Caenorhabditis elegans: one gene and its partner. The protein of the gene in region 2 purifies or fractionates together with the protein of the main gene of each other region. This does not show direct contact. Each region holds a gene or a part of one and is shown on either strand. Other genes may lie near its edges.

Region 1 (7,387 bases), on a different chromosome or scaffold from region 2:
TCACCAAGTCTCTGACAGTACCGAATACCGCCCGAATTAATTCCAACCATATCAAACTTTGCCGTACATGTAGCATGATCAATAGTTAACGCTTGGAATCGGGATGGTTGAGCACTTGGAACTGATGTACAGATACTTGTAGCGTCTGATGGCTGAGAGCATGGGCATTCTGGAATTTTAAGTTGGGAGTTTCAAAAGTTGTTAGCAAACTGGGTGAGCTGAAATATTACTACAGAAAAATAGCAGTGCATGAATATAACTTCCAATTGAAACAGAAAAAAAATAACCGTGAACTAAAATAATTCCAACTTGATACATTTTCATTTTGTTTATATCATCTCAATTTAATAATAATGTTCAATTTGTTTCTTTTTCGGAATTAAAGATCTAAAATCATTAAACTTTGTAATGTTAGAAGTTGTCAACCTATTATTTAAAAATTCACTGCTTCAAAATTTTTTCAAATGTAATTTCATGTTGAACCGATCAATCTCGATCAATCTCGTATACCAAGCATTACAAATCCTTTTTTTATTTCGTCTATATAATCAACTTTAATGATAATGTTCAATCCAAACTCGATATCACTATTTTTCAAAATTATACCATCAAACTATAAAATTTTAAAAGTTGATAACTATGCGTACTCATATTCATATTCTCATATTGTACTCATATTAATTCCATCAGAACATTTTTGAAAAATTGACTGTTTCAAGATATTTTCAAATGGGTTTTCATATTGAAACGATCAATCTCGAAAACTCATCGAGCATAAATAATTTAAAATCTAACGAGCTGAAGCATCAGTAACATCGCCGCTACACGGACATCCCGCCTTATCAGACAAACATTTTCTAGTCCTAGTCCATTGTCCATTGATCCTCTGATATCCTGTATAATCCGACCAAAGTCCTCCAGCAGGACAACAATTTGTCGTTTCTTCTCTCATAGATTTTGGTAATGGTCCACACATAAAAGTGCTATTCAAAACCATTGGAACATACGGTGGACAGCAGGTTTTTTGAGCGGGGTACTTGCAAGCCGATAGGTTACATGGGATGTAACGGGACGGAGCGCCTCTGGAAATTTTGAATTTGGGAAAAAAGGAAAAATCGATCATACAACCAGTATATCAGTTAATACAATGTTTAATAGTTTATAGAAACATTATAAGCAATTTATATATTTTTTTTAGAAAAAAAAGTATCCAGCCTTGATTGTAACTCACGAGCATGCACAATTCCCCAGCTCCGAGCTCAAACATGTCCGTATTTGAAACAGCTTTCCACATCCACCACAATCCATACTACACTTGTCACTTCCAGTTGTCACCCATTCACCCCACAGCCCTCCCGGTGGACATCTGACTCCAGCAGAACAAGCCTAATAGAAAATTGTGTATCATACAAGCCATCAATGATACTTACCGGTGGAACAGTTATCACAATGTTGAAACGGCAGAAAATAAGAAAAGATAAAATGAACATTAGGCTCTAGTTGTTTTCTGAATTTGGCAGTTTTTGAGCGTTTTGTATAAAGAAAAAATAGCAACAAAACATGATTATTGTTATGGAAATTGAGTTTGAAGATCAAGTTTTCAAAAAAAAAATTCATGTTTCATTGAAATGTTAAAGATGTAAAAAAAGGAAATAATATCAAAGCATTTGATAGCATTTTTTACAAAAAGTGTAGTGTAAAAGAGGAAAAAAGAGAACGACTTCGAAGTACTTTTTGAAGCGCATAATTTTAAAACTTTCAGTAGTTTTAGGTTTCATCCTTTTCCGGAACCCACAACATTTATTCAAAATTCATAATTTAGCCGTTTTGCTTATTTTTCTGACAATTCTGGTCAACGAGGATGATATATTTTTTCCTCAACCGAGTTTCAATTTTATCAAAAAAATCTGTTTCTGTTTCAACACTTTTATTTAATTTCTTCATTATTTCAAATTTTCATTAAAGCTTTTTTAGTAAATGAGATCAATATTGTCAAAACGCAACCCATGGTTCTTTACACGGATCTGGATATTTTAGAGAATTAGCTAATTGTTTTGGTATGCTGGAACAATTCACGGGAACTGAATCATACACTCGCAGAACTCTTTGGACAACTGCTTCTTCCAAATCTTTGGAAAATTGTTCTGGAAGTGGCACGCTTTTGAAAATTGGCATTACGCCAAATTTATCTGGAATTTCGTTCCAATTCGGTTGATACATCCGGTTTTTGGTGCTGCGGTAGTGTCTGAATAATTTCAACTTGGTTAAAACCAGTATTCTGAATAGGAAACTAACCTGAGAACTGCTTGAGCTTTATCCAACTTTTGCAATTTGATTCCTGGCCACATACCAACTATCTCGTGGATTAACATTACACCAATCTGAAAACAAGTTAAAGATCCACATGAATTCCGAAGCAAATGTTATACATTGAAGATGACACGTATAAACTGTTAGCAAAATTTTTGTTTTGAAAAAAGTTGTTTTAGCACAATTTTTTCCAGAAAAACTGGGTGAAAATTCGAATATTCAAATTTAAACTGACTACTTTTCATATTTCGTTCATTTAACTTTGTTAAAATTTAACTTAAATAATTTCCACTGTTTGACATACTTTAGAAATATAGGCCGTTTTTGAAAATGATGTTTCTTGAGTGTTAATATCATGTTTCAATAATTTTAATTCTAAGAACCTACTTTTATATTTTTTGTTCGCATAAGACACAATTTTCAGAAAATAAAATATTTTTACAATAACAAACAGTGATTTGCTAATATTTATCTTGTTACTAGACAACCAATGTCTTTTTGGCTATTTCACTTACAGAAATTAGTTTTTTTTTGTTAAAAAATTCAACTGTTTCACGCATGTAGTAAATACCAAAATAAAAACTTCACCACAGTTTTTCACCACAACTATATTTTTTTACTTCTATGACTTTAAAGGGAGGAGACGCATACATGCGAAATGGTCTTGCCAACCACTGGTTTGAATATATTTTTTTCCTTCGTGAACAAAAAAGTTTGACCCTTGAAAATATACCTTATCTGGTCTTATGATGAACTTAGAACCTGTAATCTGATTGCTCGTTGTTTTATTGTATTTTTTGAATATCAGTTCTTTCTCCAGTTGTGTTCGATTTTCAAACTTCGCGGGAAAATCATCATTTTGAATCACATGCACATGTGGTACATCAAGAACTCCGATAGAAGGATCTTGAATTGATCGTAGAAGATCAATCATTCTCTGTCCAAATGTTGTCATTCTCTCATCCAAATCTATTACGGCTGTCCATTTTGAAAAATATTTGCTTCGAAGGTGACAGTCCTGTTATTAAAATCTATTATTTTATCTTGTGAAGTCTCCCTACCTGAACCTCCAAAAACTGCCATGAAATGAACACACGTTGATATTTATCCTGCAGTTTCACTAATTCCATATCACCAGTTCTGAAAACAACACTACAATTTGCTGTTCTCTGAGTTATCTCCACATACCTAACATATTCATTCAAAATTTTCTCGTCATACTTTCGAATTTGACCGGCATAAAAGAAAAAGAACGTGGCACCCTGATAAAAAAAAAATTTGGGAAATTGTAAAATTTCAGCAATGCCTCTAGCTTGTTATGTTCTACAAAATCAACAATTGGAAGCCAATGAGATCCATTTCCGTAAGTGGGGGCCATGCATACTGATAGTTGATGAACTGGCTCTGGAGAAAAATTTTACTGTTTCATGATGTTATTTTAAAACGGTTCACAATATGTTTGATTAATTGGGAAGTTCCTTTTGCAACTTTTTCGTACAAAGACTTTCCGGCTGAAAATCTCACAAACCCTCAAATTTAAACCACAAAAAAAAACATTTTAAAGCCGCTCAATTGCAGGAAATGCGCTAGTGGAAATTCAAAAAAAATGCAAAATTATATTCAAAATTTGGGGTCCGGGTTCTATTCAAACTGTTTTCTAACTTTTCTCCGTCTTATACTCTTACCTTTATATGCTCTAAATTTGAGTCTAACTGGAGTTGGAGCTACTTCTTCCATCTCTCTTGAAACAGACACATAAACTGCTCCAATTCTTCTGGGACACTCTATAACAGATTCTGGAAATACTACACCCCGCCAAGCACTTCCTGGAATCTCATTCCGTTCACAATCGTAGTATCTACAATACATCTTCTGATTCAACATGTGTTGAGTGATAAGAGATATTGCAATGGTTTCAGGGTAGACGTATGCGGCCAGAATTGAGACTTCAGTGTTGTTGTGGATATTCTTGAAATTTTGAAACAGTTTTTGTTTTCTAGAGGAAAAGCTAAAAGACCTACCTCAGCTGTCAATTCAAGCTTCTTCCACAGCCATTTAGAGAAGGTTTTCACGTAGGAAGATGATATGGATTCTGTATGAACCCAATTCCAAGTTTCAATTGTACATTGTTGATTTGAAGAATAACTACTAGATTTTGAAAAATCTGAAATTTAATAAAATATTTTGGAGTAGTAATTTTTAATTTACCAAGGCCACCATGTAAAATGAAACATCCAAGGAACGCTAATACCACAAGAAAAGCAAAAATAAAAATAAGCCGCTTACCCATTTCAGGTTAAAAACTAAAATGAAAAGCCGCATCGGTTCACCCTCACTTTTATCTTCATCTGAGGGAATGCTTGATTGACTTGAAGATATGTATCTGGCTAACCCGTTCTTCATACTTTGATGGTATCGTCACACTTTCCCGAACTTTTTATTAATTTTTTATAAATCTTTTTTCCAAAAATATTGTACAAAACAAGGAATTTAATAAATGGTTTCTACAGCTAACCACTTCAAAAATTAAATAAAATCGGAGTAAGAAAACTGAAGACAATGATCAACCTTCAGAAAAATCGTTTAACTTTCTCCTTTAGAGATCCGTAAAATTTCCCTTTCCGCCTTTAATTAATTTTTTCGGTTTCTCCATGACCCCAAACATCCTATACATAACTACAACTACCGACATGAAATTATACAATACTTTTACAGTATTACCATAAACCCGGAAATAATTTTTAGAGTTACTGGTTTAGTCGGTTTAGTTTTTGTTTAATGGCCAGGTCGGAGTTTTTTCATTGATAAAATTAATTACCACATACTCTAATTAACAGTACTGTCGACACGAAATTGAGTTTATTTTCAAATATGGTTAGTTTAATGTGTATAATATAAGATCTAAATTAGATATATGTATATCATTATTCCCAGACACAATTGTCTAAATTATTAATTTATTTCTTTGACATCGCAACTGTTCAAACTGAAAATTATGTTCGAGATCATGTTATTTGGACATAAATTAAGCTTAATTTCTCTTTTATGACTGGATGTTGAAGACCGGCTATCTTGGCGGATCCTTTAGGTATTGTTCAGAATGAACTTAAAAATGCAATTGAAACGTTTCAGATTCAGACTAAATAAACTTTAAATTGTAATATTGACATTAGAAAACGTCAGTGTTTTTTTCGAAATAAATATTACCAAGAACGTGCTCAATTAATAAGTAGTGAAGTCACTTGGTAAATAAGGAATCTGAAACGGGTTAAGCGAAGAAAAAACTTGAAGACCTTTTTGTATTTTACCAACAAATAAGAGTATAATAAACAAAAACCAGGAAAAAAATATCGTCACTAATCATAGGGGATAAAGAAATAAACCTATTTGGACTGCTGCATCGACGAAATTAGCACATCGAACTGTTATTACTAGGCTGAAACAGCAAAAAAACGGAAAGTGGGAATTTGTTGGTACTAATAAAAATTGCTCAACTTGAGAGTTTTCACAGGTAATGGTTGAATTAAGTTGTTTTTTTTTCAATGCGGCACAGTAATACTGTTGATCTTGTAAAGCCAATCAATGTACATTTAGCACGGAAAATAAAACTGCATGTGTTATCAGCCCAAAATCAAAATTACTCTTGTTCTCTGTAAAGTTGGTTAAGCATTAGTTGAAATGGTAGGTTTTTAAAATCTTTAAAATAATTTTGGAATGCAATCAAAGAATATTGAAGAGACTTCTCAGTTGTTATTACACGACTGAAACAGTAAAAAAAAGAAAACGCAGAGACTGAATTAAATTTGTAGATGTTGATAAACATTTGTTCAGCAAAATTTTTTATGGCGGTTCAAAATTTTTGAAGAAACTGCGCTAATTTTCGCTAAAATCTCGAATTTCGCTAAATTTTCCTTGTCACAGCTGGTTGAACGCGACTTTTAATTGAATCACATAACATCCTATATTTTATATTTTGACTGTTTATCTAATATTATTACGTAGATTAAAATAATGTTTCGGCCGATAGGTAACCAAAAATCATGGAAATTTTTTACCTATAAGCTTTACAATGTATCTCAATTAATGAAATAATATGAGATAAATTACCAAAATATGCAATAAAATATAACTCGATAAACTCAGAAAAGTCAATTTCAACAATTTGCAACACGGAAAAGTGGGCGAAATTCGAGAATTCAGGTGAAATTATTGTAACTATTCGGAGTTTTATTTTGGATCTATACGTTAAAAATACCCAGGAATTTAAAAACATTGAAAACTCTGTTTTATCGACCATCTCTAATTCAAACATCATAAGTAGAGAACTCGAAACAGAAGTTTTTTTTGGCACGCAATAGTTTTCTCTTAAATTTGTTCGGTGCATATAAATTTTAATTTTGAGCCAGTGCTACCAAAAAGCATGTTAATGTTAATAACTCAACACATTCAACGTAATATGGTCTTTCATGAGTTTTTCACACCAACAATGGAATGAGTTAATTTAATTGTTATCTGTTAAAGTAAATAGACGCTGTTGACAATCAATATGTTTTCGCAGTGTTTAAGCTTGCATTTTACATTTTCCTCTATTCCTGAGGTCATGCCTGAGCCTAGGCATAAGCCTAAGCCTAAGCCTAGGCCTAAGTCTGAGCATAAGCATAGATCTGAGTCTAAGCACAAGCCTTAGCATACGCCTATGTCTAAGTCTAAGTCGAAGTCTACCGAAGTCTGTTCAAAATATGGATTTCAATTAATTTTGTTTTAAATTTTACTTTTTCTTAATCTCCATATATCATTCTGTAAAATATTTATTCAATTCGCGGCTTGTCATACATTCAAAAAAAATGCTGGTTATTTGAATAAAACACATTTATTAGTCAAATTCGATAAGACTGCGTGCCAGTGCACCAACAAATTCACCTCTTCAAATTCAATCTCCTGAAAACGCTTATAAAAATATATTTTATGAAAGTGCAATGGAAATTCTGTTTGAGCTACCATAAAAAAATGCTACTCCACTATAAAGTTGAAAAAAAAAATTAAAGGCACACATCAAAAAGTTGCCAAACGCCTGTTC
Region 2 (5,848 bases):
AAATTGAAGATCAAACATCGGGCGTTTTGAAATATCGCTGGCGCTATTGAAAGGGAGCTCCCAATGACCTCCAAAGTGTCCAGGGGGCCAGTAAGCAGTGGGTCGATCAATCGCCAAATCGTATAAGGGTTTTCATATCCATAAAAAAGTTCCATGTCCGGAACTGTCAATCTAATATCTGAGGGGATTCTTAGTATTCCAACGGCTCCAATGGATAGCTTCCGTACCACAATGGGGGTTTTCCTACCGCTTAGAAATGTTTCAAGTAGATATTTCAAAGCTTCGTGAAGCTTCTTCGCATATGTCACTTGCTCAACATTTTTTCCTGTCACCAGTTGAATAAAATTGTCACTGCGAAGCCCGTCCCTCAGAACTCGGCGCCTCAGCTCCTGATAAAGCCGACGTTCATCAAGGATTCTTCCAACATCACGCAGCAATTCGTTCAGACTTTTGTTGCTTCCACCAGGCATCCTATTATCTATCAAAATCTCATTGGGATCTTCATGAACATTTAAGGCATAATCCTGATATCCATACTCATCTACATCATACGGGCGGCCACCATCTCCATTGCTTCTGATAACGCTTAGTCGATACAAGATATGGTTGATTTGAATAGAGTTTTGGTCGATTTGCAGGTAGGTGAGGTATAGGCCGGTGGACTGCTCCGCGAGCTTGAGTGATGGACATCGGCGGGAAAGGGATAGTCTGCAAATTTTGAGAGTTCTTGAATTGGGTGGAGCATGGTGCATCAACATGGCAAAACAACATCCGTACAAGGATTGTGCGGCAAATTTCGAAATTTGCCGAGCTCGGCAAAATCGGCAAACCAACTTCTTTAATACTTGCCGAGCTCGGCAATTTTGGCAAATTTGCCGAGCTCAGCAAATTCGGCCAATTCGGCAAATTTGCCGTAACTCCGAAAAATTTGGTGTTTTTATTGTGTTTTGGAGCACCAAAACTACTGAATTGTTAACACACATATGGTTTCTGAATAAGTTCGGTGTAGTGTGTCTGCTTAAACATAAAAATAATTAAATTTTGTGTCCTTTTACCAAATTTTTGGAGTCAAAATCACTAGTTTTGGTAAAAATTGTTATGTCAAATTTTTGATGTGTGCGGCAAATTTTGAAATTTGCCGAGATCGGCGAAATTGGCAAATTTGCCGTGGTCGTCATACTCGGTAAATTGCAATATTTTTCATTTTTTGGAGCTCAAAAAATGCCAAAATCAATGAAAAAAAAATTTTCAAAATTAGCCGAGCTCGGCAAAATCGATAAGTCCACATTTTTTACGTGCTCGGCAAACGGCAAATTTGGCAAATTTACCGAGCTCAGCAATTTCGGCAAATTTGCATATTGGAAAAAAAACGACCTACCTCAAATTTGGCTCAAGGTGATGAATTACAGATATCTGGCATTGGTAGGAAAGTTGTTTCGTCGTCATTTTTTGCAATTCTTCCAAGGTTGCTAACTTACCACACACTATTGACTCATCTATCGGAAAACGTTTTTTTTCGGTAAATATTTGTCAACTGTTGACATTGTTTCAATCGCGGTCAGCTCCTGGTTCTCATGTTATGTAGTGAGCAAGAAATACAGAAATACATATGATTTCATAATTTATTAACTTTGAATACACAGGTGGAGCGGGAGCGGACAGCTGAAAAGGCGGCACTTGTTTTTGAGGCCCCACAAACAATGATCTACGAAAAGGAAGAAGTGGCATTGTGCCAAATACACAAAACGCATCATTTCTCGAAGAAAACGTTACAACGATGCTCTGAAATTACGCATCGCGCGTTGTTTGGCGTGTTTTCCAGCACAAAAATTAAAAAAAAAACCCTGGCACAGTGCCAAATCCGTTTTTCGTACAGCTTCCCTTTTTGTGAGGCCTCTTTTTTTTAAGCCGGGGTCGGTCGAGAGCCGCACCCCTGTCGGATCCTTCAACCCAGGATGGACCTCCGTGTCCTAGCCACACAACGGTCTATACAATTTTGAGCCAATTTTCAGCATTCCCGCTTTACCAGAAAAACACTATAACTTGATCAAAATCGGATTTCGAGATGCTTCACTCAGCATTCCCACTGCCGCAGGACCAACTAACTTGGGCTTTAATAGTTTCATGAAGTACCCAGATACATGATCTCGGTATGGCGGAGTAGTGGTGATGAGCACTATTACATTGACTATCGAGTGTTGAGCACCAATTAATAGGGCAAGCTCCGCGATTGCTGAAATTAGCAAGATTTAGAGATCATGTATAAGTGATACAAACCTTGATTAGCGCTAAAATTTGTCAGTACGGTGGCTAGTAAGCAGACGAAGGCAACCAATAGCAATAATGAAGCTGCCATCTGGGATACAAGACTGATAATTGCAGATTTGTAACGCTGGAGCTGTATTTTAGAGACTCTTAGCTGTAGGGCTTTTAACATCTTGAACATATCCCATGTTGTAATGACAGCTACAGTAACGCAGAATAGTGCTTCCATGCAAGCCAAAACTGCGAGAAAATAGCACCATTCGTTGAACGTGTAGATTGCGAAGTCACTAAGATTTTTAAATCTAGCAAGGTACTCTGGGTAGCAGGTTTCAATATGCTGATACTCCTGGTAAACATTAGCTTGGCTGATAGCGATAACAACTATTATTGGGACACATGTAAAACCAGCTGCTCCAAAGTAGTAACTGATTCTTGATACTATGTGCCGATTGAGTAATTTTGCGAAGATTTGATGTTTAGCTACAAAGCAAATAGTCAGACATTCTATTTGAACAAATGAAGAAGCTATAATCATTGTCTGCAATTTCGACAGTTCAGTGCAAAGTGATTTATTATACATACAACCAGCCGCTGACCGCGCCTCCGGCGCGGCCGCGACTGGTCGTTTGAAATTTTATTTTAAAAATAAGGAAGTGAAAAATTTTGAAAAAAATTTTTTTTAAATAATTTTTATTAAATCAAATCAAGGTTTCTAAAACATTCGTTTAAAGAATTTCGGTAAAAACAATATTTGTGATTCGGCCGTCAGGGGCTCGAACAGGGAATTGAGTTCGTTTCAGTTTGAAAGACAAATTCTTATCATGATAACATTCGATTCGAGGGATGATTACAAATTTTCCTTTTCTTTCGCCACATGCAAATCGGCATCCAATTGTTCGTCGTCCTAAGGATTCCACCACAAAGCGAGATCCATTGCAGAGACCTCCCGATACATCAAGGTTTCTGAGCAGCATAACCACCGATCCCTTTTTCAGTTTCAGCACATGTGGGGGGAGAGTCGAAGGGGTCATCTTGTTCAGAAATTCTGTTGGGTAGTGCATGTGATCTGCTGGATCATCTGTTACAATTTCATCTCTTGATAAATAGATTCTTTCTTCTCCTATCCCTCTGGAATGAACATCTTCGTTGAGAAGGGTGACATCAACGTTTTTTGGAGTAAGAATCACATTTTCGCAGGGATCAGAAGTTGATGGGTCGATTACATCTCCAAAAACTTTCTCGACAATATTTCCATCACATAAAGAAAAAGGGATTTGAACTTTCGATTCAGAATCATTTAGGGAACCATCGCCAACACCGAGAAGAAAGTTCATCCATTCCGTGTCGTTTGTGGTAACTCTCATGTTTGAGTGGAGGCGTAGAGTCTCAAACTGATTCCACAGAGGCGAACTCTTGATACAGGCATCGACTTGATCAGCTCTCGACCCTTTTTCGACAATGGGAAGGATTTGTCGGAAATCTCCGCCCAAAATGACTATTTTTCCTCCAAATGGTTGATCGACTTGAGTGATATCCCGAAGAAGAGAATCAAACGTGTTGAGAGCTGTTTTTGGAATCATCGAAGCCTCGTCACAAATGAACACATCGGTATTAGCAAGTTCTCTGGCATCTTTCAATTGCCTTCGGTGAAGCGACGACTCACATCGATCATGAATGTTCAATTTGAGAAGAGACACCATAGTTCGACCTCCTGGAAGTAAATGTGCCGCGATTCCAGTCCATGCTGTGCAAGCCGCCTGGAATAAAAACATGTTAGGAATAAAAATGAATTAGTTGATAGTTACCATTTTATTTTCTCCAATTATCATATTGTACAATGCAATGTACAGATATGTTTTACCACTTCCTCCGGGACCATCCAAAAAGAAGAGACGGGGTAAAGTAGGGTCGTGTAGCGCTCCCACGATACGCTCGAAGACGTATTTCTGGTCCGAGTTGAGGGTTTGAAATAGTCGAACGCCCTCTGCTGCACATTGGGATGGATCGCTTGTATTTAGATAGATGTCAGTCGGATGCATTGAAGGCTCAGGAACGTAATCATTGAAAGCTTTGCCTCCTCTGAAAACATATATTTCCACTATAAATATAAGTTTAGAGATGATAGCTACCTGTGAAGTCGACTGGAAATATCAAAATAGGCCAAAGCTTCAGCTTCATCATCTCTGGCTCCTGCGTGACGATAATCCTCACTGAGATCGCGTTTTACGGTATCCCACAATACCTGAGGCTCGTGAACCTCATTGAAGAGTAGAATAGAACTGAACAAAGATCGTAGGGCAGCAGGAACCGAGCATCCAATCCACTCTTTCAGCGATTTTAAATATTCACTATCATCCTTCAGCAGTCCACGTGCCTTAGCTGCTTCAACGAAAGTGGGGTAAACTACAGGCACTCCATCATCATCTATGACAGTTCGAATATCCTCAAAAGAAGTAGCTCCTTTTGTGTTTAGTAGAAGAATGCGAAGAACATAACGTTCAGTTTCACTGGGAGCAACTGTGTACATTCTGCCAATTTGTCGGATTCCACGCTTTCGGGTTTTCCAGCAGCGCTCTTTTTGATCGAATGTGAATTAAGATGGCATGTCAATGTAATGCAATTCGTCGACAAATGAATCGGACATGGAACCACTCTGCACTGTTTCTTCGCTAATTTTGTTAATTTTGAACCAAGCTGTCAGAGTTGTATCTTTTTCAGGCGTAGACTGCAACTGATCCTTTGTTACATTTGAAGGAAATACCACAACTTGAAAACCCGGAAGATGGACAGCTAGTCGATATACCGTGTCAGACTTTCTCTCAATCTTAAATCCGAAGAGATGGTGGATGGCCTCCGGAGCACACACGTATCGAGCATCAAGGTGGGCTTTAATCTCATCAACGATTCCTTCTTTCAGTCTACTCCGAATGATGTTTAGAGCAGCACGATCATGTCCCTTGTACACGTACTTAAATAAGTACTTCACAGCTTCAATGAAAGCACAAATTTCGACGTTGATGTGAGCATTGTACCGAAGCAGAAAGTAAGAGTTATACGGAACGATGAATCTGTTATCCATCTTATGACCTTATGGATATGTCAATGGATCACATATCTTATCAATATCACGAATTGCAGTGAGACCTCCTCCTCTTGGATGAATAGCTAGAGATCTTGAAGCTGGAATATCCTGATCTTCTCCGACAAATACAACTGCCACTTCATTTGATACGGGGACATTGTAACAACGACGATCTTTAGTAGTTGAAATGTCGAAGATTAGTCGAACCTCCTCGGCAACTCTTCCTTCTTTCAGAGCATCGGTGTTTTCTTTCTCTTCCACCTCTGCCATCATTTTATAAGCTTTAGCGTATGGGTTCCTAGTCGAAATGAGTTTCGTGAGCTCTGCCATCAACTGCGGATCACATTTTGAATTTGCAGGATTTCCTAATCTTTCTTCGATAGCTTGAGCTGTGTCCAGAATATAAATTTGGCCGTATGATGGTCTTCCTCCAGGTTCTGGATGAAGAGGCCCTGCTAAGTGATACACTTGGCCGTGGATGCGGTAGCAATATGGACCATG

Evidence for each region. Proteins that work in one complex are often made in the same cells at the same time.
Region 1: the proteins of Y27F2A.10 (region 2) and gtnt-37 fractionate together in Caenorhabditis elegans (co-fractionation; one large-scale study listed by BioGRID). This does not show direct contact.

Annotation. Positions count from the first base shown.
Region 1 is NC_003282.8:14,163,009-14,170,395, reverse strand, and holds gtnt-37 (Glycosyltransferase family 92 protein), read right to left. Parts: upstream 4,621-7,387; 5' UTR 4,601-4,620; coding exon 4,519-4,600; intron 4,475-4,518; coding exon 4,332-4,474; intron 4,279-4,331; coding exon 3,996-4,278; intron 3,799-3,995; exon of another isoform or gene 3,778-3,798; intron 3,715-3,777; coding exon 3,617-3,714; intron 3,573-3,616; coding exon 3,499-3,572; intron 3,490-3,498; exon of another isoform or gene 3,469-3,489; intron 3,451-3,468; coding exon 3,372-3,450; intron 3,329-3,371; coding exon 3,044-3,328; intron 2,925-3,043; exon of another isoform or gene 2,904-2,924; intron 2,734-2,903; exon of another isoform or gene 2,713-2,733; intron 2,669-2,712; exon of another isoform or gene 2,647-2,668; intron 2,382-2,646; coding exon 2,296-2,381; intron 2,246-2,295; coding exon 1,993-2,245; 3' UTR 1,927-1,992; downstream 1-1,926.
Region 2 is NC_003280.10:3,169,432-3,175,279, forward strand, and holds Y27F2A.10 (G_PROTEIN_RECEP_F1_2 domain-containing protein), read right to left. Parts: upstream 2,846-5,848; coding exon 2,278-2,845; intron 2,234-2,277; coding exon 2,037-2,233; downstream 1-2,036. Other genes in the region: fbxc-55 (F-box C protein), read right to left, coding at 1-708, 1,379-1,446.